Linked DNA regions of Canis lupus familiaris. The protein of the gene in region 1 purifies or fractionates together with the protein of each later gene. This does not show direct contact. Links are inferred from orthologs where the notes say so. Each region holds a gene or a part of one and is shown on either strand. Other genes may lie near its edges.

Region 1 (5,177 bases):
AGCCTGCTTCTCTCTCTGCCTGTGTCTCTGCCTCTCTCTCTCTCTCTCTCTGTGTGACTATCATAAATAAATAAAAATTAAAAAAAAAAAAAGTATGGTAGGCTGGACAGTCCAAAAAATATTCCCACTACAGAGCATCTAGGAATACCGATAAAATATAAACATCTTTTTGAGTGTATAGTTTAGCTCTCAAGACATACATTCTTCAGGAGCAAATAAAGAAGAGGAACTCAAACTGGTAGGCAGGCTACCCTGGGAACATTTCTAGTTGGGTTACCAGGAGAGTGGTAGTAAGGCCCTGGCTCCCTCAGAAGGGCAGGGTTTGAAATGGACACTTCTATATAAAACTGGGGGAGCCAAGGCAGACTAAGAAACCGGTATCTGCCCACTGGCAGAGGAAGACAAAATGGCAGGTTGGGCTCCTCCATGTAGTTGGGGAATGTTGTTGGGGATGGGAATGTCTCTTAGGGAATTCTTTTTTTCTCTCTTTTTTTTAAGATTTAATTTATTTATTCATGAGCGACACACAGAGAGAGAGAGGCAGAGGGAGAAGCAGGCTCCATGCAGGGAGTCCAACGTGGGACTCGATCCTGGGTCTCCAGGATCACGCCCCGGGCTGCAGGCGGTGCTAAACCTCTGGGCCACCGGGGCTGCCCTCTTAGGGAATTCTTAACCACAAGTCCACCTTCATGTGGGTTTGTGGCTCAAATTTATATTTACTGCAAGTTCTAGGAAGCCCCAGGCCAAGAAATTCACACAAACCCTGGTCTCAAGATGGTAAGACCTGTGGTGCCCAGCAGGAGTAAATGTAAAACCTCTGGTAGGACATTCCCTCCACACGAGCCACAGTGGAGCGGGTGCCCCCAAATGTGAACTCAGAACACCATGAGGCAGGGGGAGCCAGTTTCCTGTGAGTGCAAGGTAACTACTAACGTGTCAATTAGACCACCAAAAACTTCTGTAGAATATGGATATAGGCTATAAAACAATTTAAACTGATTAAAGAAATAGGAGTCAAGAAAAAGAATAAGATACTTTTTAAATTTAAAAGATTTTATTAGAACACAAGCAGGAGGAGTGGGGGAGGGAAAAGCAGAAGCAGACTCCCCCTGCTGAGCAGGGAGCCCCATGCAGGGCTCAGTCCCAGGACCCTGAGATCATGACCCTAGCCAAAGGCAGACGCTTCACCTACTGAACCACCCAGGCGCCCCTCAACATACTTTAATGGCAGATGTGAATGTAACTGGAGCCTTCCAGTACTAGATTCTTTCACCACTGTCCCCACCAGGCCTGCTAATTTTATAGGAGGTGACTCTGGAGAGTTTGAAGAAGGTGTCCATGTTTTGGGAGTTTGGCAAGGCAGTTTTGCAGAGGTGAATTACTTTGTCTACTCTGAGGTGTTAGGTGGAATTTATAATGGATAAATGGAGTTTATTAGGAAATGAGCTTATTGGGAAAGTAGTTTCTAAAATTATTGTCTATGTGGGGAGGGGCCAGAATCAGGTGGCAGTCACTGGATTTTCTTTACCTACAAGGTAGTGCATTAACATCTTACACACATAATCTGAAGTCTACAGTATCTAGCAGACAAAAGCACTCAGAGCCAGGAGGCTTGTACCCAGCACCCCTGGGAGCACTGTTCTGCCCCGTTCTCCTGTGTCTGGTGTCTGCCCCTCAGCTCTGTGTAGATGATCTCCCCAGTCCCCAGGAGACAAGGCCCTGGGCTTAAGGTTCTCTGTAGGGTACTGGAAACGTTCTACAGTTAGGTTGTGGCACCAGCCGTGCAGCCCTGGGAATATCCTAAGGTGCAGGGAGTTGTGCACAGGAAGAGAGAACCTGTTTACCCCCAAAAAGAAAGAGGTTTCCAAGGGTGAAATCCTTTAGTGTTTGCCTCCTGCTCTGAGCTTCCCACACATGGGAATGCCCAGCTCCTCTCTCCCACTGAGATCACGATCTTGCTTTAGTCTGAGGGAGAGTGTCAAGAGTTTAAGGAAAGGTTCAAGTGCCCACAACATGCCAGGTGCTGGGGTCTGGGGCTGCTTTCTCTTCTCTGTCCTTTTAAGACAAGCCTGATCCTATTGCTTACTTCCTGCCTGAAACCTCGCCCACAGGCTCAAGGCCACATTGCCCATACCTCCCCTGCCTCTAGCCACTCGTCCTGCTGCTTTCCTCCTTGTTCTGTTCTCCAGCCAGGATGAACGAAGCTTCCCCAACAATGCCTCTGCGCACACCTGGAATCGACTCCACCCCCACCAGGGCCTGGCAGGATGAAGTTGTGGCTGAATGAACTATTTGTTTTCCTCTTTAAAATTAAAAATTTTAAGTGGAGCACACATAAGCATATAGCATGTGGGGAAGGGAACACAGTACTTGTTCCTCTGAACCTCCCGGTCCTGTCCCTGTACCGTCCCCATCCCCAGGTAACTGCTGTCCTGATACATTAGTCATGCCTGTGATTTCTTTACAGCTTAACCACGGAATGGATTTATCCTTAAACACTAGTGTTTGGTTTGCCTGCATTTGAATTATATGTGGACGGAACCCTGCTGTGGTTTTCAGAGTCACACAGGCTGTAGGTCAGGCCTCACTGCCACGGCTTCCGTTGTGTGGACCTGCCACATTCTCCGTGCGCTAAGTGGACATCCCTGTGCATGTGTCTCAGTACACAGAAGGTTGCCCTAGGGTATGGACTTGCTGGATTACATGATATGCATACTTTCGACAATAGTGAGGTCACCACACTTTCTGAGGCAGTTGGACTGGTTTATGCTTCCACTGACTGTGTGCTTACCTTTTCCGGGGAGGCTCCCCTTCCTGGCTCCTCCTAGTAGAAGCATGTCTTAATGCCGCCTAGGAATAAATGTTTGATAAATGAATCAGAGCTACCAAATGGGGATAATTTCCTATCTTAAAATTCTTCCCTCTTGATTTGCTTTCTTTTCTTTCTCGTAGAAGAACCCATCAAGCCCCTATAACCTCGCATATAAGTATAACCTTGAGTATCCGGTGGTTTTCAACATGGTACTTTGGATAATGATCGCCTTGGCCTTGGCTGTGATTATCACCTCTTACAATATCTGGAACATGGATCCTGGATATGACAGCATTATATATAGGATGACAAACCAGAAGATTCGAATGGATTGAACTTTCCTTACGCCAAACTTAAAAAAGAGGTTTGGAAATTGGCTGTTCTGTTAAATCTTCTAGTGTAAAGTAGATGGTATACTTTAAATTTATAAAAAAGAAATTTTGTTTTCCGTGTGCCTGTAACGTTCTTTTAGAGTGAATTATAGTATTGATGTGAATTGATTTGTGTGGTATAGATTCCATGATATGCTCAAATATGATATAACCATTTAATTTCATTCCATTTAACATTTGGAAATGTGCACTGAAATAAATGTAAAACATTTAGAATAGCTTGTGTTATTTATGTTGGGGGAAAATGCACTGAATTTATTAGACAAACTTAGGAGCGCTTAACTTCCTTACACAGGACAGGTGAAAATGACATTTGGGCTGTTCTATACTATGAACCATTTGTAAATGTCTTACCCTTGATGTAAATATCTCAAACAAGATAGAACGTTTTTAAACTTCAAGTAGCCCTAAACAGGAGATTGAGAACTGCATCTGATTCACAGAGGGTAGCTGGCTTTTAACCTCTTCTGAACGTTTGATGATCTAAATCGTAGGGTGCATATTAAAAATACTATGTTGATCTAAAAAGAAACTGGAAAAAAACAACTGGAGTTATAGATACCTGTCATTAGATACCCAAAAGCCAGTATTTGGGGGACATCTATAAAATGGGGCTTGACTATAAAATCTTTATTTTAATAACTCTTCCCCCTGTGTAAGTTACTGTTAATGGTTTGTGGTACGTCATTCTCTAGAATATTAAGTGGAAGTAGATGCTCCGGAAGTAGATGCTCCCTACTTTTCATGTGGAAGTGGACCAATGTCTATAAAGAGTGACAAATAAAGTTAATAATGATTCCAGATTTGTGTCATTTCAATACTAAATTTATTTTATATTATAAAATCCTAACAAAGCAGGTTGTATTTACTCAGAATTGGCTGTTACACAAACGGTTTCATGTCTCTTTAACATTTGTTTATTCTCGCTGCCTCCTGAGATTCAGTTTCAAGACAAGACATTTTAATTACCATTCTTATTGAATTTATACAGAATATCTGGTGAATTCACACTAGACTTTAAGTAGGAAAAGCCCAAATTTCCCTGTAGTATTTAAAAGAGGAGTAATTGATCAAAATAGAAAGGACTATCTAAGGTAAAGGCTTAAAGGTTATAGTTTTATTTCTTAAAAGACTTAATAGAATTTTAAATTTCATGATCATGTAGCAAAATCAGTCAGTTGTGCTGTCCTGCCCCTGGGAACTCTACTTGGGCTCAGCAGGAGCTGTTTCCATGCCCCTTCTTTGGGAAGATCATCACATCCTTTTTAAGTAACACTGAGGGTGGCAGGTTTGAAAAGATGGAGTCAAGCTAGTTGCATTTTCTACCACTTAGTGGAAGATACCTTTAACAATTACAGTGTTAAGTGTCCACAGAAGAAGGTTTGATTTTCTTTGTCTCCTCTAACTATAAATGGCCAAGCTGGTATCACGTTCCCTGAGAAGAGAGTTCCAAAATCACTGAAGTGTTCTCCACCTCTACCTCCCTGGTAAAGTTATCGGGGTGAGGGTGTTTTCAACTGCCTGTTCCCAAAACGCTAACCCCCAGAGAACTCAACAGGGCCTGTCTTTGGGGAGCCAGAAATCTATAAGGCTGAGGAATAGTTAAAATCTGTGTTTCTTTCACAAATTTCTTATATAAACATTGCCAGAGAAGACTGTGATTACATAGGAAGTAAACCAATGCCTTTGTAATTTAAAACTGATGAGATGAAGTTCGAGGGGAGAAAAGAATTACATGACAGCACTGCTCCTCATAGTGTAAATGGCATCAGCACCCTTCTATCTGTTAGGCAGAAAGCAGTTAATTAAAATAAATGTTCTGCCAAGATTATTATACCTGTTGCTGATGATTTGCTTTTAAGTCTAATTTTGTTCAGGAACATAAATCAGTGTGGAGATTTGTATAAGAGGCAGGAAAGCTAGACTCATGACAGACTATTCTACTGACAAGCTGAAAAAACCCAATCAGTTTA
Region 2 (5,421 bases), on another chromosome or scaffold:
ATTTTCTCAATAAAAAAATTTTCATTGAAATGGTGAAAAGTAAAGCAGGGAAGAAAAGAGATATGTTGCAATTATAAATAGGGGGCCAGAGAAGCACCTCACAGAAGGAAACATTTGAGTAAAGACTTGAAGGAGTTATAGGAATGGCTATCTGGAAAAAGAATACTCCATGCAGGGGGATAACAAAGACCCTGGTGCAGAATGTATGTGTTTTTAAGAAAGGCAAGATGTTCAGTATGTATATGCAGAATGATAAAGGGGAAGAGGAATTGGGGAGGAGGTTAGAGTGGTAGTGGCAGGGAGGACAAGACGTGGGGCTGGATGAGCCATAGGAAAGACTTCGTGTTGTTTCTTATGGTCCTTGTTATTTTCTGTGGAATACTTTGCATAAAAATATGTACTTCTGAATTTTAATGACTGTAGACCCTCCAGGAATAGGGCACTTTTAACCAAATTTTAAGAATTTTATATTTTACTCTGAGGAAATGATAACTCAAGAATACACCAATGATGGGCATTGACTACTTATGTCAGTTTTCTTGCTTTAGAGTTTGTAACTATAATTTTTTTTAACCATAGGTAAATTAACATGATGGATTTCTCCAAGCTACCCAAAATACTTGATGAAGATAAAGAAAGCACATTTGGTTATGTGCATGGGGTCTCAGGACCTGGTAAGTAATATGTAATAATCTCGATAGTAAAGACTCTTAACTTAAATGAATGTCTTTTCAAGGCATTTTAGGTAAAATACACAGGTATCTGTTCACCCATATAAGTTCTGTTTGTCCCTAAAAGATTTCTTAGTTGTTATTGAGGTAATACCTCCATCATAAGAACTTCTCTGGCATTCATTACCTTAATAATTATTGGGCACTAATTTGTAATACCCTGTTTATTATGTAAATGTATAATTGGTGTTCAGTTTTAGATGTCTTAATTTTTGTGTGAAATCTAAGCTTAAAAGACTATATAAAGTTCATAGCTTTTAGTATATAATATCTTGCAGATAATAGTCATTCAGTAAATATATGTTTATGTAGTTTGCCCTTAAATAATTTTTTTCAGAGCATTTCTCAACAATATCATTCTTGGCTCTTTGCATATATAAATCCTTCTGAACACTTATTTTAGATATCTCATAACTAGTTATATGTGGGTAAGAAGTTTTATGATGTGAGAATAATAGAAAGCAGTTAAAAACTTTGTTTATCCTGCCAAAACTTGCAGTACTGCATTTTAAATGATAAATCTCATTCTAGTATTCATTTTAATCTAACTGTAAAATATGATTTATAGTTTTCCATAGGTAAAATCTGCTCATTGATTTATAATCCTTAGGCCATGGATATTTTTCCTTATGTCTTTTTATAAACCTCATTCTATAGTCTTTTTTTGTTCTATTCACAGTAGTGGTGATGACCCTTTTTCAGTGTTTATGCAAATAAAGTCAGTCAGTCACAGTGTTTATTTTCTCCCTAAGAAGCTTCTACTGAAGCTTAGAACTTGGTGTTTGAGCTTGAACTTATTGGCAAAAATGCATCTCACTGTTTTCAATCTTTTTTGCCATTTGAGAAACAATTTTCCCCTTGATTGAAGCATCTTTAGGAAACACAGGCTACACTCAAGAATTTTTAGGGAAAAGACAAAGAATACCATCAAAAGAGTTTAGGTAAAAATGTTTCTTTGAAACTTGTAGTAAACTCCTAGAACTTATTATTCTTAAGTATTTAATATAAAATGATAGAGAAGTGGCATATTTTTAAGCTTCTGAAATATGGTTTTTAAAAAGATTTTATTTGGGATGAGCACTGGGTGTTACACTATATGTTGGCAAATCGAACTCCAATAAAAAAATACAAAAAAATAAAATAAAAAATAAAAGATTTTATTTATTTATTTAACAGAGAAAACACATAAGTAGGCAGAGCAGCAGGCAGAGGGAGAGGGAGGAAGTAGGCCCTCCACTGAGCAGAGAGCCGGATGCAGGAGTCAGTCCCAGGATCCTGGGATCATGACCTGAGCTAAAGGCAGACATTTAACCGACTGAGCCACCAAGGCAGCCCTGTGAAATATGATTTAAAATTTTAGAGACATCTGGGAGGCTCAGTCATGAGCGTTGAACTCTTGATTTGGGCTCAGGTCATGATCTCAGGGTTGTGAGATTGAGCCCTGAGTCAGTCTCCCTGTGGTGGGGAGCCTGCTTGAGATTCTCTCTCCCTCTCCCTCTGGCCCATCCCCCCTCTTAAAAAATAGTAAAATAAAATTTTAGTCATCTCTGACATTTCTGTGCATCTTAATTATTCTTATATGGTAGGTGTAGAGGTAAATATTTATGAAATTAACAAATCTTCATTGTCCTAACGCGTTAATTGAATATTAATACTTTAATGGTTTCTACTTGAATATTTTTAATATTCAGCCTTCTGATACATTTATTAGAACTATGTATTAGGTAATAGAGTTATTCCTACACATATCTGAAAATGTACAACTTTCCCTGCCTACCAGAAAAATAACTTTTACTTACTAGACAACATGATCTAAAATATAAAATAGTAAGTAAAAATTCTGGTTCAGAATTTATAAGAAATAAGAATTCTTAATCAGGACTTCACCCAGTGGTGATGACTGATTATAAACATCCTTATGAAAGGCTAAAAGGTCTATGAAAAAAAAATTTTAAGGTTTTATTTTTTAGGTAATCTCTACACCCAACTTGGGGCTTGATCTCACAACCCTGAGATCAGGAGTTGCATGCTCTACTGATTGAGCTAGACAAGGTGCCTCTGAAAAAAACTTTTGTAGATGCATATGTGAGTTTTTCTAGGTAGAGCTGTCATTAGTTTATCAAAGGGGTTCTTGTCCCAGAAGAGCTTTAAGAACCACCAATATGAAGTGTTAGAAGTCAAAGTAAAGATGTAATTTTAAATATTATTTCTCAAAGGAATGGTAACAACACAGCAAACTGATTCTGCCATGCTACTAGCTAAAGCTCTTGTTCCAATTTTAGTTTAAAAATGTTTTATGTTGTTCCTAAATCCCATCATTCCATGTAGTATAGCAACTTGAGTTGATCAAAATGTGCCTCAATGCTGCTAGGTAAGAATTTACTGTATAGAACTTAAGACTTTTTGAAAATAATTTTCATGTGTGTTATGTAAATGAATAAACTTTAGCCTAACAAATTTATTTTGTTTACCTCTGTATCAGATGCTAAAATTTATATTCTTATAAAACGATATATGTTTCATACATTTTTTCTTAAGAATATATGAGAAAGATGTATTATTGGATTAATTGGATATCTTAATTATCTCTATTCACGGAGTCTTAAGTTACTAAAAACTCATTTGTTCTTTTCAGTGGTTACAGCCTGTGACATGGCCGGTGCAGCCATGTATGAGCTGGTGAGAGTGGGCCACAGTGAGTTGGTTGGAGAGATTATCCGATTGGAGGGTGACATGGCAACTATCCAAGTGTATGAAGAAACTTGTATCCTTTTTGGTTCAATTTTTTGCCACTTTCTGCAAGTCAGAATTTAAGGATTTATGGCAAAGGTGGAAACAGCAACAACCAATAGTATCAAAAGCATGAAATGGTGTCATAAAGAAACCTGATTTATATAAGAATTTATTAAGGAAAGGTACTAGGAACTTATGATCATTTTTTAAGAAATTAGTATTATCTTCTGAACTCGTATTGCTCTTAATATTTTGGTAGTTCCCAAACTTTAGGGGAAACCAATTACAATTTTCTTGAGAGTGAACACATATTGTAAAGCATAAACAGAATGACGACATCGGTTTGAAGGGTTAAAATTCTCTGATCATGATTTCCATTTTAAATAGAAAATTCATAAATAAATGAGTCACTACTCTATCCTAATAAAATAATGTTGTATGTATGGCATGGTACATTATAGCTTTAGCACTAGGGAATCTTTACTACTTGTTTATCATACTTTTGTTTTAAGCATAGTATTTATTTTAAGTTTTCAATGAAAAAGAGATAATGTATTAGATTTTATGAAGAGGAACCACTTTTTTTTAACTTCACTTTTGTGTTTTACTTAAGTTATTCTCAAGATCAGCATTAAGTCTTATTTTTTTAAAATTTTTATTGAAGTATTGTTGACATACAATATTATGTTAGTTTCAGGTATATAACATAGGGATTTGACAATTATATACTTTATGAAATGCTTACCATAAGTGTAGTTATCCTCTGTTATCAAAGTTATTACAGTATTAATGACTATATTCCCCATGCTGTACCTTTTTATCCCCATGACTAATTTATTTTATAACTGAAAGTTTGTACCTCTTAATCTCCTTCACCTGTTTTGCCCATCTACCCAACCTTCTCCCCTCTGGTAACCACTAGATTGTTCTTTATATTTAATGAATTTGTTTCCTTGTTTGTCTGTTCATTTGTTTTCCAGATTACACACATAAGTGAAATTACATGGTATTTGTTTTTCTCGATCTGACTTAATATGGACCTTCTAGGTCCACCCATGTTGTCACAAATGGCAAGATTTCATCCTTTTTTTTAATGGCTGGGTCATACTCTATTGTGTAATATAACATGTATATATTGAAAACACAGTATATTCTATCTGTATACACATAACGGCCAGAATATTCTTTACGCACATGCACATGCCACATTGTCTTTATCCATTAATGTATCAGTGGACACTTAGGTTACTTACATATCTTGGCTATTGTAAATAATGCTGCTATAAATATACGGGCAGCATTAGTTATTTGGCTCATTAATTAAGATTTACTTTATACAACTTTTTTGCCATATTAAAATCCATTTTTTTCAGGTAACTTCTCTGTGTGAGTACTAGGGTGCTAAATCAAAGTAAAATCATCTGAAAATTTAAATAAAATTAGAAGTCTGTAGCTATAAAATCATAACTAATTAGAAGGATTTTTTAATGGATGTTTTTTAATGTTAGGTTTATCTTTCAATCTTCTATGTGATTTGAAGACTTAAAATAAAAACAAATGAACTTGTATACAGTGAAAAACCTCTCCACCATTGTCATCTTATATCTGGCCAATTTTCAAAACACATATGCATACAGCCACTTTTATTAATTCCTTTTTTTTTTTAATTTTTATTTATTTATGATAGTCACAGAGAGAGAGAGAGAGAGAGAGGCAGAGACATAGGCAGAGGGAGAAGCAGGCTCCATGCACCGGGAGCCTGACGTGGGATTCGATCCCGGGTCTCCAAGATCGTGCCCCAGGCCAAAGGCAGGCGGTAAACCGCTGCGCCACCCAGGGATCCCTAATTCCTTTTATTATATATCTTTCTAGTTTGTTAACTAATATTAATGTTATTTTTCTTCTCTTCATTCCCAAAAGATAGCATATTATATGCACTATTCTACACCTTGCTTTT
Region 3 (5,919 bases), on another chromosome or scaffold:
CCCTTAGCCTCCCTGGCCTGAGCCACGTCTCAAACCCGCCTTCCACACTGCAGCCTGACAGGCTCCCATTCAAGGAATCTGGCCCTCTCTGTGTCCGGTCCCCTCTGCAGCTCCCTCCTATTCCAGGCTAATGTCTACTCCTCTTAACAAGGCCTCTAAGTTCGCACACCATCTTCCCCCACCTGCTGACACAAGAAGTCCTGAGTCAGTGTGCCTACTCCCCACCACACCCTCCATTTCGACCCCTCTTTACAGCTCTGAGATTCCTGGGCACCCATGCTTTGCCTTTCCACCCTCCTCTTCTTCCTGGCCCCCTTGATCTACCCCTGCCCCCAGCTCTGAAACTTCCCCAGGGCACATCTTTGCATTACTACACTGATCTGTGACTTTGTAGCTCCCTGACCCTGGAAGGTCTAATATAGACAGCTGTGACAAGCGAGTAAATGGATAATTCAGTAGACACAGCAGGGCCAAAAAGGATTTCAGTAAATTGACACCCCCCTCCCCCGCCAACTGTAGACCTGCTCCTGGACATTTCAGCACATATTGGTGGGTAGGTCAGAGAAGACCACTCTCCTCACCTGGTTTACTCAGTAGCCTATCTGCCTCCTCACTCTTCTTTAAATTTCTTCTTCCCTTTCCCCCTCCTTGCTTGGAATCCTGCCCCCTTAAGACCTCTCTCCAGGGCCTCTCTTATGTTTGCCCTCCTCCCCATCCTTCATTGAGCTCCTTGCAGACAGAAATCATGTCTTATCAATCATGGATCTTCAGCCTTCTCATGGCCACATTTGATAAACACTGGTTGAATGAATGAGTGTATAAATGTGCCCAGCTCTTCACCTGATAAAATCACTGAAGGCAAGATCCATTCTCTTAAGTACCCAACCACTTGTGAGCATTATGGGCTAGTTCTGTGCCAGGCACTAAACCAGGTGCTTCTACACGCACCCGTCTTCATTCTCTGCCCTCCCTCCCCACTCACTCTAGGTGTGAGCGCTTTCCTGGATGGCTTGCTGGCCACCTCCTCAGCATCATCTGCTTTCCATCTGTGTGTCCATAGATGTCCAGCCCAGCTGCTCTTCCACAACTGTAGAATGGCCCTAGGTATTGAGCATTTATGGACTCTATCTCCCTTAAACCTTACAGCCCTATCAAGTGGGTAGGGATACTACTATCTGAAGAACTTGAAGCCTTGAGAATTTTGATGATAAATCCAAAATCATACCTCTAAGTATGACTTTTGGGCCAAGATTCAAACCAGGTGTGCCCAAATCCCAAACGTCTCATACAAATACCCACTAGACGAGACCATCTGGATGTCTCAAGCACTCTAAACTCACAAACCATATGCTGAACACCAGTATGCCTGTTTGCTAAAAATAGAGGAGGAAAGGGTGGACCTTTCAGTCCATATTTCACACTAGGTGAAATACGGCTAGCTCACTCAGACGTGTTAGTGCTATCCACCTAGTTGCAATGGCCAGAAACCTGGGAGTCAGCTAGGTCTCTACCTTACTTCCCAAACATTCAATCTGAATACCAGTTTTGTCCATTCTGTCCCTAAATATCTCTTGACTCCATCTCCTTCTCCACATTCCCATTCCCACAACCTGAGTTCTGACCACCATTATCTCTTACCAAAACGGTATCCTTCTGCAGTCTTTTTTTTTTTTAAGATTTTATTTATTTATTCATGAAAGACACACAGAGAGGCAGAGACACAGGCAGAGGGGCAAGCAGGCTCCATGCAGGGAGCCTGACGTGGGACTCGATCCCAGGACTCCAGGATCACACCCTGGGCCGAAGGCAGCACTAAACCGCTGAGCCGCCCAGGGATCCCTCCTTCTGCAGTCTTGCCTCTGCACACAGCACCGTGACAGCGCTTATCTCTAAAACATGTATCTCACAATATCATTTTCCAAAGACTTCAGGATAATTTGTCCTCAGAATAATTTGTTCCAGATTCTTTAACTTTGCTTGAGGGGACTTATGCTATGTCACTAAGCCTTTGCATATGCTGTTCCTCCTGCCCGGGGTGTAACACCCTCTTGTCCTTACTTCTATCTCCTAAATCCTTCGGGGGATCTTCTTTGCGCACACCGTCCCCCCAGTGGGTTGGTTATCCCTTCAGTGGATGCTTCCACGTACGGCTCACATTTTAGCAATTACCACACTGCTCTGTAATTAATTGCCTGTTCACTTGAATCCCTACCTCACTAGTCAGTGTCACCATTAACTTGTCCAATATTTTATATACTCAACAAATACGTACTAGTTGTTAACTGTGTGCCATAGTTAAATACACGATACAGACCCGGACCTTGCCTTCAAGGACAGAAACCGCGTCTCCTCTTCTGGGGGCTCGGTATCTATCAGCAGTGGGCGCATCGGGTTTATTGAACGACCGATGGAACGCGCTTGCGTGAACCTGTGGTGCCGCGCGCACTTCTGGGAATCGTAGTCCCCAGGTTCGGGGCCCCTCATTATTGCGCAGGCGTATTCAGATTAAGACGTTTTACTCTTGATGCGCATGTCCCGGAAGGCGGAGTGGTGAACTGCGCATGTGTAAAGGGCGGAGGCGCGGCCGAAAAGGCGGTGCGCTGCGGGGGAGGGGCTTCGTCGTCTAAGGGCCGTCGCCGCGGAGCTCTACCTGCCTGCGAGAATGGCGGGTAGGGGGAAGCTAATTGCGGTGATCGGAGACGAAGACACCGTGACTGGCTTCCTGCTGGGCGGCATAGGGGAGCTTAACAAGAACCGCCACCCCAATTTCCTGGTGGTGGAGAAGGATACAACCATCAATGAGATCGAAGACACTTTCCGGTACGGTAGCCCGCGAGGCCTGAATGGGACCCTCTGCCTCGGGTGGGAGCCACGGGGGTCAGCGGGGTCGGCGCCGGGCTTCCAGACCCCGATGTCTGGGGTCAAGGAAGTCGGTCCAGTCGCCCTTCCGGAGGAGGCCTCTATGCTCCAAGTTCTCTTTTGGGGCATGGGGGAACCTGAGCTATGTCAGGTTCACGAGCTCATCCCTCACATGACTCTGTGTCAGGAAAGGGGAAAAGATCTGGAGATGGGCGCCGCCCCTCGGCCCCAATCTGCCCCAGGGTCCTATCTCAGCTCCGCCCCTGTTCGCCCCGTAGAGCAGGCTCCCCGCCTTGTTAGCGCTCGACCCTAAGCGACCCACACACTTATCGAATACCTAGGCAGTGGGGTCGGGCTTTCTTGTATTGTTATGTCCCTTAGAGGCTCACAACTGCCTTGTAAAGTAGAGGCTATTATTCCCATTTGCAAGTAGGAAAACTAAAGCTCAGAGAGGTCACATCCTTTGGAAGAGAGAGAGGGGGGATTTGAACCCAGACCTAACTCTCTTAAGCCAGGTTCACACTGCTTGTGCAGTTCCCTCAACTCTTAGAATTTCCTATTGTCCTGAGCACCGCAGGCAGAGTATTAGGACTATATCCTGCTACTTTCTGCTAAGACCTTGCATTTGAAGTTCCTGATTTCTTACCCTGGGTCAAGAGCGATAGCTTCATAGTATGAATGCAGGCATGTCCCTTAAACCAGGAGGTGTCCTGGTGACTTGAATTGAGAATGCTAGCCCCCTTTGTTTTCCCGCCCCATCCTGAAGGAGGCTGTTACCCAATCTCAGGGACAAACTACTCTCACTTGTTTCCCCTACACAGTCCAGTCCTGAGCTGCGGGCTGAGACTGGTTCCTGCTGCCGGGGGTATGATTGGCCCTGAACCGGCCTGATCTCTAGGCATTCTGGTAAAGTGACCCAAGTTGTCTTGGGAGGAGGGTAGGTTTTACTCCAGGAATTTTTCATGTTTCCATCCAAAGGGACCCAGAGATCATCAAGTCTAACCTGCCCTAGTGCCTGGCACAGAGCAAGCGCTCAGTTAAAATAGTTTTTAATATTTTACTTAACTAACGTGTGGGTGGTCATAAGGAAGGGAGATCCCAGTGGTAGGTTCTCTGTCTGGGGAAAGTGTGATTTTCCTCCTCCTGTGTTGTATTCTTGACTCATGCGAAACTTCCCCTATGATCCATTCCCCAACGTCTTCAGCATAGACCTTTAATGGTCTCATCAGCCCTCTTTAAAAAAAAAAGCTTTCCTTTAAAAGTTATTCATGTAGCTTGTAAATTAATATTTAAAAGGTATACACGGACAAGTCTCACTCCCACCCCTCACTCCCACCCTCCTCTTTTTCCACTTCGTTACCTCCCTCCTCCACCCCTGTGAGCAATTAATTGCTTATTTACTTTTCTGCTTTTTCTTTATGTACACACAAAGGGACAGACATTCTTATCCTCTCTCTCTCTCTTTTTTTTTTTTTTTACACAAATGAAGCATACAGAAGAATGCACCAGCATGTGCACTAGTCTTCAGCACCAGTTCACTTGGGAGCCTTTCAGGCAGGGGAGGCAGAAGACAGCTAGAGGGCCCTTAGATTTTTTTTTTCTTTTAAGATTTTATTCACTTATGAGACACACACACACACACACACACACACACACACAGAGGCAGAGACACAGGCAGAGAAAGAGAGAAGCAGGCTCCATGCGGGAGCCCGATGGGGGACTCGATCCCAGGACTCCAGGATCACGCCTGGGCTGAAGGCAGGCAGGCACTAAACCGCTGAGCCACCCAGGTGTCCTGGGCCCTTAGATTTTTAAATGAAGGTGATCCTGGTTAGAAAGAGAATGTAGCTAGCAACTTTTGCCTTTGTGCTCTGCAGTCTCTGGGTCAAGCCCCTTCTCCTCTGCAGCCCAGCCTCAGCACCTCAGAGTGAGAATCTCTTCTCATTTCTCCCAACAGGCAGTTTCTAAACCGGGATGACATCGGCATTATCCTCATCAACCAATACATCGCAGAGATGGTGCGGCATGCGCTCGACGCCCACCAGCGCTCCATTCCAGCCGTTCTAGAGATTCCGTCCAAGGAGCACCCCTATGATGCCACCAAGGACTCCATCCTGCGCAGGGCCAGGGGCATGTTCACGGCCGAGGACCTGCGCTAGAGCCCTCCCCATAGCCATGCAGCCTTTCCCCAGGCTTGCCTTCAGCCCGTCTCTGATTTCCCAGCCCCCTGCCCCTTCCCAACCCACTGAGAGGCTAGGTGAGGTGCTTCCAGATTGCTGGGGCTTTGCCATTAAAGTCAAGGCTGGTTAGGGAACAGGAAGCCTGAGTATCTTCTCTCCACTACATCTTCCCTGTGCTGTTACACAGTGTCTCTGTTCATGTTAAATTAAAGCAACATTCCCGTTTCTCTCCAAATTGAGACTGGCTACTAGAAAGGACGTGCATGGATGAGGTGGTTGGGGGGATTAGATTGGCAGGGTTGGGAAGGGTTCTGCCAAAGATATAGGCATGGAAAAGCTGGACCAGGAAGATTGTGCCAAGAGATCATAACTCAAGGATGGATCCTTGGAATCAACGGTGACCAGCTCTGGTGGGAGGGATGGGAGGAGGCTTGTGCCTAGGTCCTAGGCTCCCCCAATTCATTCTCTCAGGCTGGGGAGGGACTTGACCCCAAGGAACGGAAGCAGAAACACAGGAAACCCAGAAGCCTGTGATACTAGACTGAGCCTGGGTCCTGCAAGAGGCTTGGAGATCAAGGCCTTAGCCGGTGGGCCTTGGCCTGAGGTTGCCTCTGGATCAAGGCATGTGAGGTCTGCTAAAGGCATGGCAAGTAGAACCCTGGCCCTGTGTGAGGTGAGGCTTGGTTGCCAGGTGACTGTCTGTGGCAGCCACCTGCTGTGGGAAGGACTCTACTTGCTATCGCTTATCCCTCAGCTGCAGCCACCCTGGTACCGCTCCTTCCCTTGCTACCATGTCGCGCCAACTCAGCATGGATACGCTGCGGCAGAACTTCTGGAAGGAGGAATATCTGAGGGAGAAGATGTTGCGCTGTGAATGGCA
Region 4 (6,195 bases), about 88 Mb from region 1:
TTTGGTCTAGAAAAAACAATACAGGATTGTCAAATGGCCTTCTAGGTAAAGTAGCCTTGTCTATAATTAACACTTAGTCGTAGAATGAAAAGTACTTAAGAGTGATTGGGCTAAAGTTTATGACTGATTATATGAACATGTTAATGCCTCTTTTTTTTTTTTAAATTTTTATTTATTTATGATAGTCACACACAGAGAGAGCGAGAGAGGCAGAGACATAGGCAGAGGGAGAAGCAGGCTCCATACACCGGGAGCCTGACGTGGGATTCGATCCCGGGTCTCCAGGATCGCGCCCTGGGCCAAAGGCAGGCGCTAAACCGCTGCGCCACCCAGGGATCCCTTAATGCCTCTTTTTTGAGTTACCTATAAATATACACTTTGCCAAGTATCATTTTGTCAGCCCCTATATATAAATCCAAGTACCTCACCTAAATAATTGAATTTTATTTTTCTTGCTGTCTTTCTTTCTTAGAAGTATAGAATATGCTATACTTAGAGAACAGAAATGCCCCAAGTTCAAATAGATGGTTTATGAACCAGAGTATATATGGAAGACTCTGTGCTGACGTTGCTTTTTGAGTGTCTGCAGCTTCTTTGGTTTAGATTGAAGCACTACCCTGAGCCTGTCCCTTCTTGGCCTTCCATCATTTGTTCTCTGCTTTCCTTTTGATTCATTGGGCATGCCAGAGAAATAGTCTGATTTACTCACATAATGCCAGTTTTTAGAATTGCTTGGTGAGGTGTGGGTAATTTATTTTGTGTGTGTTGTTGTGGCAAATTTGGGCCAGAAATTCAAAATTAGAAGTCCATGTCTCGGTTGAATATTTCTCCCTGAAAGAGAAATGGATTTCAAATTCTTACATGTTTAATTCTTCTTGAAATTCGTGAGTTTTGTATTTTATAATTATTCTACATTTTTTAAACTGTCAGGATAAACTACTCTTAGTTTCTTCTATTTTTTAGATTCTATTTCTTCATGAGACACACACACAGAGAGAGAGAGGCAGAGACACAGGCAGAGGGAGAAACAGGCTCCACGTAGGGAGCCTGATGTGGGACTTGATCCTGGGATTCCAGGATCATTATCAAACTTTCTTCTCTCTATATTTTTATTATGAAAAATGTCAAACATACAGCGTATTAGTTTATTAGGGCTGCTATAACAGATTCCCACAAAACTACAGGCTTTTTTTAAAAAAAATATTTATTTGAGAGAGAGAGAGAGAGAGAGAGAAAGCACACAAGCAGGTGGTGCGGCAGGCAGAGGGAGAAGGAGAAGCAGGCTCCCCTCAGTGGAGTAGGAAGCCTGATGCGGGCTCGATCCCAGGACCCTGGGATCATGACCTGGGCCAAAGGCAGATGCTAACCGACTGAGCCACCCAGGCACGCCCCACAAATCAGCAGGCTTAAAACAACAGAAATCTCTTCTCTCAGTTCTGGAGGCTAGAAGTCCAAAATCAAGGTACAGGCATGTGCCCACTCTCTCTGAATGAAAGCCCCTAGGAAGGAATGTTTCCTGCCTCTTCGGCTTCTGGCGGGTCCTGGGGTTCCTCACTCTAGCTCTACTGTACAGTGGCCTTTTTCCCTGTGTTCAAATTTTCCTCTTCTTATAAGGACACTAGTCATGGGGTTTAGGGCTCACCTGAATCCAGCATGACCGTATCTGGATCACATCTGGAAAGACCCTATTTCCAAATAAGACCACATTTCTGGATGGATCATGAATTTAGGGGGTCAACCTTATATCCAGTACCTATAGGAAGGTCAAAAAACAACCCTACAGTGCCCACCCATAGATCCACCCCCTAGGTTCTGCCATTAGCAGTTTACTATGGTTGCTTCATCACACACCTATGTCTGTAGTCCCACTTCGCTCTATTTTATTTTTGGGGCATTTCAGACTGAGTTGCGGGCATCACTTCAGTTCCTCCGAAATCAGTGCGCATACCCTTAACGGGAGCTCAAAATTTAATTATAGTTTCCAGTGTTTCGACTGTTGATCTCTAATAGTCACCAACCTGAGAAATCAAAAATGACCCAGGAAAAGGAAGTCTTCCAATGGGTTTGATGCGGTGTCTCCCACCTTGACTCTAGCTGTCCCATGGCCTCTTTCCTCTCTTTAAAGCAAACGTCGAGAAAGGACGATCTACAACCACGTCTCCTTCCCCCCATTGACATCGCTCCTGCCAAGGCCTCCAGGTGTTGCCAAGTCCAAGAAACGGTTTTCTGTCCTCATCCTACGTGCTTCTTGGCAGCAAGTGACACTGACATTGCTCATCTTGGTGCCCTTGAAACCGCGCTTCTCCCTGGCTCCTCCCCTCCCCCCGACGCTCCTCCTCCTCCCCGCCCATTTTCAGTGCAGGACCTTCCTCTGGAAGTTAGCCCGGGCCCTCCGGCCGCCTCCTCTGTCTCGGCGGGGCCCACCTCTGGGAAAAAGAAGCCACTCCTGCCATTTTAAGCGAAAGGAGGATTAAAGCCGGGAGACGCGAAGCCTGGAGGGCGGGGACCCGGCGAGCCGAGCCGCCCCGGCCCCGCCCCGGCCCCGCCCCGGCCCCGCCCCGCTCCCGCTGGGAGCCCGCGGTGGGAGCCGGCCGAGCCCCGCCCTGCCGCCTTTCCCGCACGGAGCGTGCCCGCCGGAGGCACGTACAGCCAATCCGTGCGAAGGAGCGGCCCTGAGTGGCGTGAGCCTTGTCCAATCACCGGCGGGCCTGGCGAGCCGGCCTGCGCCCGAGCCAATGGGGGCGCGGGGCGGAGCTCGGGCGGAGGCGATGGTCACCTGATTTGCGGCGGCAGCGGCGGCCGAGGCAGTGGAGGCCGAGGCTGTGATGGCGGCGATGGCTGCGGCTCGGGTGCTGGCGGGGACGCGCCGGGCCCCAGCGCTCAGACAGATGCGGTGGCTGCCGCTGTTGCTGGTGGCGGTGGCGGCGGCGGAGCAGCAGGTGCCGCTGGTGCTGTGGTCGAGTGACCGGTGAGCGTGGCGGGCCGGGCCGGGGCAGGCTGCGCTGCGCGCCGCGGCGGCTGAGGCGCCCTCGCCCGGCTCCGGGGCTGTCCTCAGCGAGCGGCGGCCGAGGGGGGCAGAGGCGGACTGTCCCTTCCTCGGCGGCCCGTGGGGAGCCAGCCGGGTCAGAGCTCGGGGCCCCGCGCGTCACGATGGTCGCAAGCCTGCACCCCCCACTTGACAGCACCTCTTCTGTGCCCTGCCAGGGACTTGTGGGGTCCTGCGGCCAGCACCCACGAGGGCCACATCACCAGCGACATGCAGCTCTCTACCTACTTAGACCCCGCCCTGGAGCTGGGCCCCCGGAATGTGCTGCTGTTCCTGCAGGACAAGGTGCGCCCGCCCCAGCCCTCTCTCCCTGTCATCGGAAGAAGTCAGGCCCCCCTCCCCCCAGGACACCGAGCCCATTCCCCAGGGGAGGCTTCAGTGACCTTGTCCCAACCGTAGGGAAGTGTGGCTCCTCTCTTGGGAAGGCCTGCAGGAGAAGGTTCCGTGGGAACGGTGAGGGCCTTGAAATGGCACTGACTTGATTCGGTTGAAGCCCCGGGTGAGAGGCCAGATGCCTACCCAGTACCAAGCACTTATCCGAGCTACTCTATGTGGGGGGGATTATCATCCCCCTTTACAGATGAGAAGACTCGGGTCCAAGGACGGCAAATGACTTGCCTAGGGTCACTCAGCTAATGGGTGACAGAGCTGTGATCCTAACTTTGATGACGATAGTAGAGATAATTGAAAAATGATCACTTAATTGAGTGCTTCACATGCACGGTGCTAAGCTGATGTCATTATCTTGGATTCACTGCCAAGGGAACTAAGGCTGGTAGAGGTGCAACCATTGACGAATGATCTGTGGCTTATGCGCACCACACTTGGTTGGTTCCAGCCGGAGTCTGTCAGACACCCCCCACTTTGTGCTCAGGCACACAGTTTTCCCTGCCATACAGGTCTCTGCCTCCAAAGCAGGCATATGGACCATGAGAAGATTCTAGGGCAGTGTAGAATTGGTGTTTGGGAGCTTATTGAGCCTCTGCTTATTCCTTCCTCAGGGGTGGCCTGTGTGGCTCATTCTCCTGTGGTCTTGCTCAGTTGCTCTCTGGGCACGTCATGGTGGTCATGCTGGCCTCCACTCCTTCCAGGAGGTGGTAAATAATGTAGTTAGACGGGAACTCAGTTCTGGTTCTACTACTTACCACCCTTTGGATGTGGGAGATAATCTGTGAATGCCTGTTTCCTCCTCTGTACAATGAAGATACCACCTGTATCAGAAGACTGTGAGGAGCGATTCTTATAAGCCTCGTAAAACACCTTTCCGGGGTCCCCTTATGGGATCCATCCATTCATTCATTGGCCAAATATGGACTGCCTGTAGTGTCCCAGGTAGCAAGTGTTGGGGACATAGCAGCGAGCAGAGTAACCCAAGCCCCTCCCGGAGGAAGCTGGCAGCCTCGGGAGGGCAACAGGTACATGCTAAGTTGGTGTATGATATAATGGCAATGCTGCTGTAGTTTTCAGAGAAAGAAGCAGGCCATGGGAACAGAATGATTGGCGATACTGTTTAAGATAAGGGTGATCAGACGGGCTCACTGAGGAGGGCTATCTGAGCAGATACCTAAATGGAGGGAGGCACACAGCCATGTGGGTATGGGTGGAAGAGTGCTCCTGGCAGAGGGAACAGTAGGTGCAAAGGCCCTGGGCAAGGAGTGCGCTTGGTGAGCCCATGAAAGAGCTGGTGTGGCTGGAGTGTAGTAGAGGAGAGCCAGGTAGCCAGGTAGCCAAGGGATGACAACCGGGGAAAGGCTGGTTGCAGTTCTAAATGTGGCAGGAAGCTTTGGGCAATTTTGAGCAAGGAGTCCTGAGAGGACACGGTGGTGGTTCCTGGGCTTTCAGAATGAGAGCCAAACAGGGTTAGGATGCCTGTCTAGATGGCAGAGGAGGCTGGGCAAGTGTGTATACTAAACAGAATCAGGTTAGAGAAACGGATTAAGATCGCTTCTGGGCCTAACTGGGAAAAGCCAGAGGAAGCTGGGAGTCGGGTGGAGGGCAGGAGTTGAAGGACACGTCTAGGTTGCAGAGGAAAAGGGATGGGATCGTGGTTACTGTGGTCCGGAGAGCTCCAAGGACTTCAGTGCTCTTTCCAGCAGATTCTACCATCTTCCTCTCTCCCCTTCCACCAAAACCAGGCAGGGAAGGAACTTCTTGTTCTCTTTGAAAAAGGGTCTTGTCCAGGTTGGACATAGGCAGTGCTAGGCGTTGCAGCTGGCACGCAGGTTCTCCTTTTCTCTGACTTCCGCCCTGGGGATGGGGCGGCGGTGGCAGTGGGGGAGCTGCCGAAAATGTTCCTCGCTGTCCCCCAGCCCCTCCCCCAGCTTCCCTCTTCCCCAGCCAGTTCCTCATCTGAAGGCAGGTGGCTGACTCTGAATCTTGAGGTTACGAGTCAGCTGCCTGCAGATTGCCTTCCAACCCCATGACCACCTTCCATGTTTTCTCACCCTACCAGGAAGGAGAAAAAGAGAACCTCCCATTCCTCCACTCGCTACCCCCAAACGTGCCTTTGTCCACACTTTTGACTAGACTGTGTCTGATTGCAAATGAGATTTGGCTGTCCCTGCCCATGCGCAGGGAAGGTGTCTGCCCCCTGTCCTGGCCCAACCTTCTGAGGCACCTTCTCTGCTTCCCTACTAGCTGAGCATTGAGGACTTCACAGCATATGGCGGCGTGTTTGGAAACAAGCAGGATAGCGCCTTTTCTAACCTGGAGGTAAGAGTCCTCTCCCAGCCAAGGGCCATGGGGGCTCTCCTGCACTCTCTACCTCCATTCAATAAATACTGTGCCATTAGGAACCAGAGGTGCTGGCTTTAGAGGGTAGAAAGGCCTGAGATGTCAGGGACCAGGAGTGTGGGGTGTTTTCTTTCTGACTCTGAATAAGACCCTGGTGTGAGTGTGGGTGTGCCTGTGCCTTGCCCGAGAGGTTTGGGGGCTGGCTCAGGCCTGCTGGTCCCTTGCTAACCTATCCTTCTGTCTCTCCCTGGCCCCCAGAATGCCCTGGACCTGGCACCTTCCTCTCTGGTGCTTCCTGCTGTCGACTGGTATGCGGTCAGCACTCTGACCACTTACCTGCAGGAGAAGCTCGGGGCCAGCCCCCTGCACGTGGACCTGGCCACCCTGCGGGAGCTGAAACTCAATGCCAGCCTCCC
Region 5 (5,979 bases), on another chromosome or scaffold:
TGTGGCTTATAAAAACTTACAGACTTAATTAAAAAGTACCCTTTCACTCCTCTCTGTGCAGAAAAGTGATACATATTTTTGGCAGGGGGAAGAGAAAAGCAAAACTATTTTGGTCTATATGCCAACCTGTCAACAATGGTTACAGGAGACCTCATTTTCTATGGTTCCCGAGTCTCATTGTTTGAGGACTTTCTAAAATATTTAATTGCAAGTATATAATTGTTTTTGTAATTAGAAAAAAATTAACAAGCTAATTTTTAAAAGAATACACACAGAGGGCTCTTTCTGTATGAGGGTGGACCAGAAACCCTGAAACCTTCTGACAACAAAACTGCTCATCTTAATGCTCCGGGTGAGAGGTTTCCTCTGTGAACTACAGCTGGACTTGGTAAAAGAAGGGCTGGCTGCGGTGGGTATGCCTACAGAGCTGAATATGAACATGCCCTTGGACTCAGCTTTTCTTTCCAATACGCCCCGGAGAAATTCTTGCACATGGAAGAGAAGGTTCATAGCAGCAATGCTGTTTCTAACTACCCCAAACTAAAAATAAGGTCAGCACCAAGCACAGGGAAATGGGAGCCCCCACCATACTCATTGGGTGTTAAAAGCAATGCTAAATGAAAACCTAAAGCTGGGAAAGAATACATACAACTTAATAAGTAAGTTTAAAACTAAAAACCGACCCATTTCATTTAGGAATACAAACAAGTACGACATAAGCACAAAGAAAAGCAATGAAATGGTTTATTTCATTCAATGAAATATTCACAGTATTCAATACTGTGGCTATTCTGAGTTGGGGAAAATACTCCTGAATTTCAATATATTAAGCATTTTTTATTTCTAATGTGGGCAGATAGGTCACAGGTGTCTAACAACGCTTCATCTAAACATATAAACATATACCACATGTACTTTGTATGTCTAAAACACAGAAAATCAAAGTGAATTTAAAATAATCAAAGGTATTAAGCTGATGTACCATCCAGATAGGAAACAAGCTCCGCCCACACAAGAGGCAAGAGACAGGGATAAATACAACATTTCCATTCAGGCATGCGTAACCCTCTTTATCAGTATAACAAGAAAATGGAGAAAATATTGCAAAGGTAGATCCTAATTCACAACTCGAATAAAACTAAGTTCCCTACGGTTTAACACTTTAAAATGCAATGGAATCATACTAACGCCAAAAGGCGGTAAGATATTGTACTTCTTGTACCCAAGAAGGTGGCAAAAAGAAAAACAGCGCAAGACGGTACGGGGGTGAATATCTACAGGATGACGTAAAAACTTAAAATTTGGGATGAACCAAACACACAGTGTAAACAAAATGGGAAAACTGTAAAATCTGGATACTGCAGCATAGATGATGCGTGATTTATTGCATCTCGGAAGGAACGTCTGCAAACCAACAGGAGGACCCAACAGGCAAGGAAACGGCCAGGAAGTACCCGAAGCGCTGCGCAGCCACACTAACGCTAAGAAACGCCGGCACCCGCGTCCCGCCCGCCCGGCCTGTCACTCCGCGGGGCTCCGGCAGGTGCCGAGGCCGGCCGGCCGCCCGCGCAGGTGAAGCCACCGGGCCGCGTACCTTGCAGCGCGCGCCGAACCTTGTCCTTCCGCTCCTGGGCCGCTCGCTGCGACTCCTCCTGGGCCCTGCGGTACAGGTACTCGCGGCGCAGGCGGGCCTCGCGGCGCAGCTGCGGGACAGCGGGGCCGCTCAGCCTCGTCCTCGCCGCACGCCCACGCGCCCCCGGCCCAGGAACCACCCCCAGCCTCCAGCATCCCCCCTACCATCCCGAGCTCGGCTTCCACGTGGGTCCGGGAGACTCTGCCGCGGCCGCAGGAGCCACGCCACCCTCGCGTCTGCCCTCAACCAACAAGGTCGCTCGACGCTTCACCACGCTTGGCTCCCGTAGCAGTGCCCGACGTTAAGATGGCGGAGCGTGGGTTGGTAGTCGCAAGGCGATTGGCCAGTCCGGAGGCGCATGCTCCCTGCAACAGCCAATAAGGGCATCAAGACGTTATCACGTCGCCTAGGAGAGCAGTGAGTCAGCTGTCGCTGCGTGTCTCATGACTTGTCACTGTTGTGCGCGATGCTCAATGTTAGGATTATGAACCGCTAAAGTAATCAGAATTCGTTGTTCGAAATGATCCAGCAACTGGAAAAGCAGCACAGCGGTTGTCTGGAGGTTCGCCTACCGGCTCCTGGAATTAAAGCCTCGTCTCCCTTAAAATCAAAAGTGACTTGATGGCGGCCATACGGCTGTGCGTCTTCCATCACCACAGCTCTAGCCTTATTCTCGTGCGGCCTCTTCCAGAAGCACCTCGGAACCACCCGAAGCTCTAGCCGACTGTTTGCCTGGCTGTCCCGCTCCGGAGGGACTAGTCCATTCTCTAGGGCTGTTCTGAGAGCGCTTGCCTTTAAAGGCGGGGACCTGGTGGCCTCTACACGGTGGCTAACTCGCCCCCGCCCCCCCTCGGCTGGGCACGCCCCTGCAGGTGGGTCTATTGGTTGCCGGGCCGTGGGACGAGCGGCGATTGGGCGACCTGTGAGGACGCCGGTTCCAGGCCTCTGTCCGCTGGGCCCATGGCTGCGCCGGACCTCCGCTCGGAGCTGGACTCGCTGCTTCTGCAACTGCTCCGGGACCTGGAAGAACTGGAGGCGAAGCGGGCGGCGCTGAACGCCCGGGTGGAGGAGGTGGGACCTTGGAGAGGGGTGGGCGGGCGTGCGAGGGTAAACCGAGTCTCACCACCCTCTCTTACCCCAGGGCTGGCTCTCGCTCTCCAAAGCTCGCTATGCCATGGGCGCCAAGTCTGTAGGTCCTCTGCAGTATGCCTCCCACATGGAGCCACAGGTCTGCGTCTACACCAGGTGAGGAGCCATGCTTGCTGGAGCCGGTGGGTGGGCAGGGTCCAGGCTGGGGCCTCCAAATATCCATACTGCCTTCTTGTTCTTCAGCGAGGCCCAGGACGGACTCCAGAAGTTCTGGGTGATGAGAGCCAGCGCCCAGACTCCAGAGGAGCTGGGACCCCGTGAGGCAGGTGAGTCCCTCTTTCTTCCCGTCAGGGCGCTCTCCCAGTGTGGAAAACAAAATGTACAGGAGAATAGAGGAGGTGAGTTTATTAAGGGTGTTGCGATAGAGAGGGCGGCCTGGATTGGAGGATCACAGTGTCTCGCCAGGCTGTTTTCTTCTGTAGGGTGAAATAGACAAGTTATAGCTGAGGTCCGTTACAGTTGGGATAGTTTTGCAATCAGGGGAAGTTTCATTCAGTTGAACAGAAAATGTTTATATGTCTAACTGGTTTCAGAGGAGAAATTTATAATTTCAATCACTTATGAGACGAATGGGGAGTTAGAGGATCTGTCCTACCTTTCAGCATGTTCAGGCAAAATGGGGAAAGTCAGTGTGTTGGCACTGTCACAGCTAAACAAGGGGTCATCTGCTGATCTTGAGAGTCATGGGAAAGAGTGGTCAGGGCCTCATCTGAATCACAAAGGGAAGGGTTGTTCTTTGTGGTAAGATGTTCTCTGGAACATAAATGGTTGGAGGCATTTTTCCAGCCATCAGTGTTTGTCAGGATCATGAGCTCAAATCAAATTCAACATTGTCACAGAGGAGACAAGGTACAAGTAATGTACCCCAACCTCCAGTCTGTCTTTCTCCAGCTTTGCGCAGGCGCAAGGGTCTCACCAAAACCCCAGAGCCGGAGTCCTCCCCAGCCCCCCGGGACCCTCTGAATTGGTTTGGAATCCTGGTTCCTCACAGTCTGCGGCATGCCCAAGCCAGCTTCCGAGAGGGTGAGTGGATGCTCTATCTACAGAAAGCACTTGAGCACTGATGCCATGCCTGGCTGGGGTTAATCTGCAAAAGGTTTTCTAGGTTTCTCCTTAGCAGGCTTTTGTTGCACAGCTGCTGGGCTTTTTTTTTGTTTTGTTTTGTTTTGTTTTGTTTTCAAAAAAGCATTTACTGGCTTTTGGCAATGTTCCAGGCTCATGCTAGGTGCTGGGGATACAGCAGGAAACAATAAACAGCCCTCATAGATTGAAGGGAGAGCGAGAACATGCAAATAACTAAATAGGTTCTTTATATAATACCAGGTAGTAAGAATTGTTATGAAAAAAATAAGATAGGGTATGGTGGATGGAGTGAGACAAGAGTGGGGAGGGTAACTATTTTATGGAGGGTAGTCTGGAAAGGCCTCTCTGAAGAGATGGAGGTGATCTGGAGGATCCGTGCTATAGGCAGAGGGACTAGCCAGGGCAAAAGCTTTGAGATGAAATCATGTTCAGGATGGCAGAGAGGAGGCCAAGTGGGCTGGACTGCCACTTATGTATCAAGGAATGGAAGGAGTGAGATCAGAGGGGCTGGGCCCAGGTGATTTTAGGTGTAGGTCCTGATGAAGACTTTGGGGAGTCACGGATTGCTTTGAAGAGAGGGAGGCACAGTTGGACCCACAGAGTGATAGAAGACTGGCAAGAACAGAGGGACTAAGCAGGTGCCAGAGACCAGCCAAGCTTGAAATGCAGGTAGAGGCAGTGAAGGAGAGGGTCACTGATAAGAACCTGCATGTTTTGAGAGTACAAGCAACAAGATTTGCTGACAGATCATTTTGAGAGTAAGGGAAGGAGAAGAGTGAAGGATAAGCCCACAGATTCCAGCAGGAACACCTGGGAGAGTGAAGCTGCTCTCACCTGGTGTGAGAGGGCTGCACAGCTACAGCCAAGGGTAAGTCAGGAGTTGGGCAAGAGTATGTTCCTAGGCTGTGTGGTGGAGACTCTGATCGGGTGTCAGGACACATGCATCCAAGTTTGGAAGAGACTTGGGCTGGAAAGAGAGATTTGGGGAGCCCACTGCATAACATTGGTGTTTAAATTTCCAAGTTGCTGGCACAGATATAGCATTAAAGCAGAGATTAGCAGAGGGCCTCAGAGTGTGGACAGAAGGTAGGAGGAAGAAGGGGAGAAACCACTGGAGGAAACTGAGAAGTAGCAGAGACAGGAGCAACACTCAAAGGGTGAGAGATCCAAGACGAGAAAGTGAAGGAGGTGAGCAGATGTGTGGCCAGCCCTCTTGGCAGGCAGGTAGGCTGAAGACTGGATGGGCAAGTGGATTGGGCATGGAGTGCCCAAATGACTTAATAGCAGAAGCATCAGGGTAGACCCCATGGCTCAGCGGTTTGGTGCCGCCTTCAGTCCAGGGCGTGGTCCCGGAGACCTGGGATCGAGTCCCGCATGGGGCTTCCTGCATGGAGCCTGCTTCTTCCTCTGTCTCTCTCTCTCTCTCTCTCTGTCTCAAATAAATAAATAAATCTTAAAAAAAAAAAAAAAAAAGCATCAGGCAAAAGCCACCTAGATGGGGATCCAGAATGTGGAGCACTCTTGAGGGCAGAGAAAACATGTAGAAAGAGAAGGCAGGAAAAATGAAGGACTATTAAAATGAAGGAAGGAAATGAGGGCATGCAGCAGTGTTATGATCTGTGAGTAATATGATCAGTGTTAGTTCCTGGTGGGTAATATAAGGGAGTAAAGGAAGTCTATTGCAGAGGTGACATTTTTGTAAAGATCTGAAGGAGGTGAGGGTGTGGGGTCTAGTGAAATTCTGAAGTAGCCAGTGCAAGGCTCTTCCTGGAATATTTTAGGAATACTGTGGAGGCCAGAGAGTTCTGGAGGCTTTCCAGTCCCTGGAAATGTTCAGAGCCCCCTGAGTCATGTGTTACATTGAAGATACCATGGTGACAGTCTTATCTCTTCTTCTAGGCCTGCAGCTGGCTGCAGACATGGCCAGCCTTCAGATCCGCATCGACTGGGGTCGAAGCCAGCTCCGGGGGCTCCAGGAGAAACTCAAGCATCTGGAGCCAGAATCTGCCTGACTTGTGACCAGAGGCAGGGTCGTGAGCACAGCTGTTCTTTGGTGTGGCTGCCTTATCTCAGGACTCCTTGCTTCACAGATTGTCCCTGCTCCTATTCCCACC

Evidence for each region.
Region 2: the proteins of ATP6AP2 (region 1) and ATP6V1A purify together in Homo sapiens (co-immunoprecipitation; 3 studies listed by BioGRID and IntAct, with this or other methods). This does not show direct contact. The link is inferred for Canis lupus familiaris from reciprocal best matches to the Homo sapiens genes ATP6AP2 and ATP6V1A.
Region 3: the proteins of ATP6AP2 (region 1) and ATP6V1F purify together in Homo sapiens (affinity purification with mass spectrometry; 3 studies listed by BioGRID and IntAct, counting the BioPlex papers as one, with this or other methods). This does not show direct contact. The link is inferred for Canis lupus familiaris from reciprocal best matches to the Homo sapiens genes ATP6AP2 and ATP6V1F.
Region 4: the proteins of ATP6AP2 (region 1) and ATP6AP1 purify together in Homo sapiens (affinity purification with mass spectrometry; 5 studies listed by BioGRID and IntAct, counting the BioPlex papers as one, with this or other methods). This does not show direct contact. The link is inferred for Canis lupus familiaris from reciprocal best matches to the Homo sapiens genes ATP6AP2 and ATP6AP1.
Region 5: the proteins of ATP6AP2 (region 1) and CCDC115 purify together in Homo sapiens (affinity purification with mass spectrometry; 3 studies listed by BioGRID and IntAct, counting the BioPlex papers as one, with this or other methods). This does not show direct contact. The link is inferred for Canis lupus familiaris from reciprocal best matches to the Homo sapiens genes ATP6AP2 and VMA22.

What each region holds. Positions count from the first base shown.
Region 1 is NC_049260.1:35,212,585-35,217,761, forward strand, and holds the end of ATP6AP2 (renin receptor), read left to right. Parts: intron 1-2,791; exon of another isoform or gene 2,792-2,952; coding exon 2,953-3,147; 3' UTR 3,148-4,005; downstream 4,006-5,177. UniProt on the Homo sapiens protein: Multifunctional protein which functions as a renin, prorenin cellular receptor and is involved in the assembly of the lysosomal proton-transporting V-type ATPase (V-ATPase) and the acidification of the endo-lysosomal system.
Region 2 is NC_049254.1:18,714,426-18,719,846, forward strand, and holds part of ATP6V1A (V-type proton ATPase catalytic subunit A), read left to right. Parts: intron 1-579; 5' UTR 580-589; coding exon 590-674; intron 675-3,366; coding exon 3,367-3,495; intron 3,496-5,421. UniProt on the Homo sapiens protein: Catalytic subunit of the V1 complex of vacuolar(H+)-ATPase (V-ATPase), a multisubunit enzyme composed of a peripheral complex (V1) that hydrolyzes ATP and a membrane integral complex (V0) that translocates protons.
Region 3 is NC_049235.1:7,644,533-7,650,451, reverse strand, and holds ATP6V1F (V-type proton ATPase subunit F), read left to right. Parts: upstream 1-2,532; 5' UTR 2,533-2,662; coding exon 2,663-2,820; intron 2,821-4,816; coding exon 4,817-5,018; 3' UTR 5,019-5,274; downstream 5,275-5,919. Other genes in the region: protein ATP6V1FNB, read left to right, coding at 5,831-5,919. UniProt on the Homo sapiens protein: Subunit of the V1 complex of vacuolar(H+)-ATPase (V-ATPase), a multisubunit enzyme composed of a peripheral complex (V1) that hydrolyzes ATP and a membrane integral complex (V0) that translocates protons.
Region 4 is NC_049260.1:123,318,072-123,324,266, forward strand, and holds the start of ATP6AP1 (V-type proton ATPase subunit S1), read left to right. Parts: upstream 1-2,773; 5' UTR 2,774-2,825; coding exon 2,826-2,968; intron 2,969-3,204; coding exon 3,205-3,331; intron 3,332-5,683; coding exon 5,684-5,758; intron 5,759-6,037; coding exon 6,038-6,195. UniProt on the Homo sapiens protein: Accessory subunit of the proton-transporting vacuolar (V)-ATPase protein pump, which is required for luminal acidification of secretory vesicles.
Region 5 is NC_049246.1:19,093,974-19,099,952, forward strand, and holds the start of CCDC115 (coiled-coil domain-containing protein 115), read left to right. Parts: upstream 1-2,022; 5' UTR 2,023-2,593; coding exon 2,594-2,704; intron 2,705-2,774; coding exon 2,775-2,878; intron 2,879-2,965; coding exon 2,966-3,048; intron 3,049-3,658; coding exon 3,659-3,805; intron 3,806-5,764; coding exon 5,765-5,877; 3' UTR 5,878-5,979. UniProt on the Homo sapiens protein: Accessory component of the proton-transporting vacuolar (V)-ATPase protein pump involved in intracellular iron homeostasis.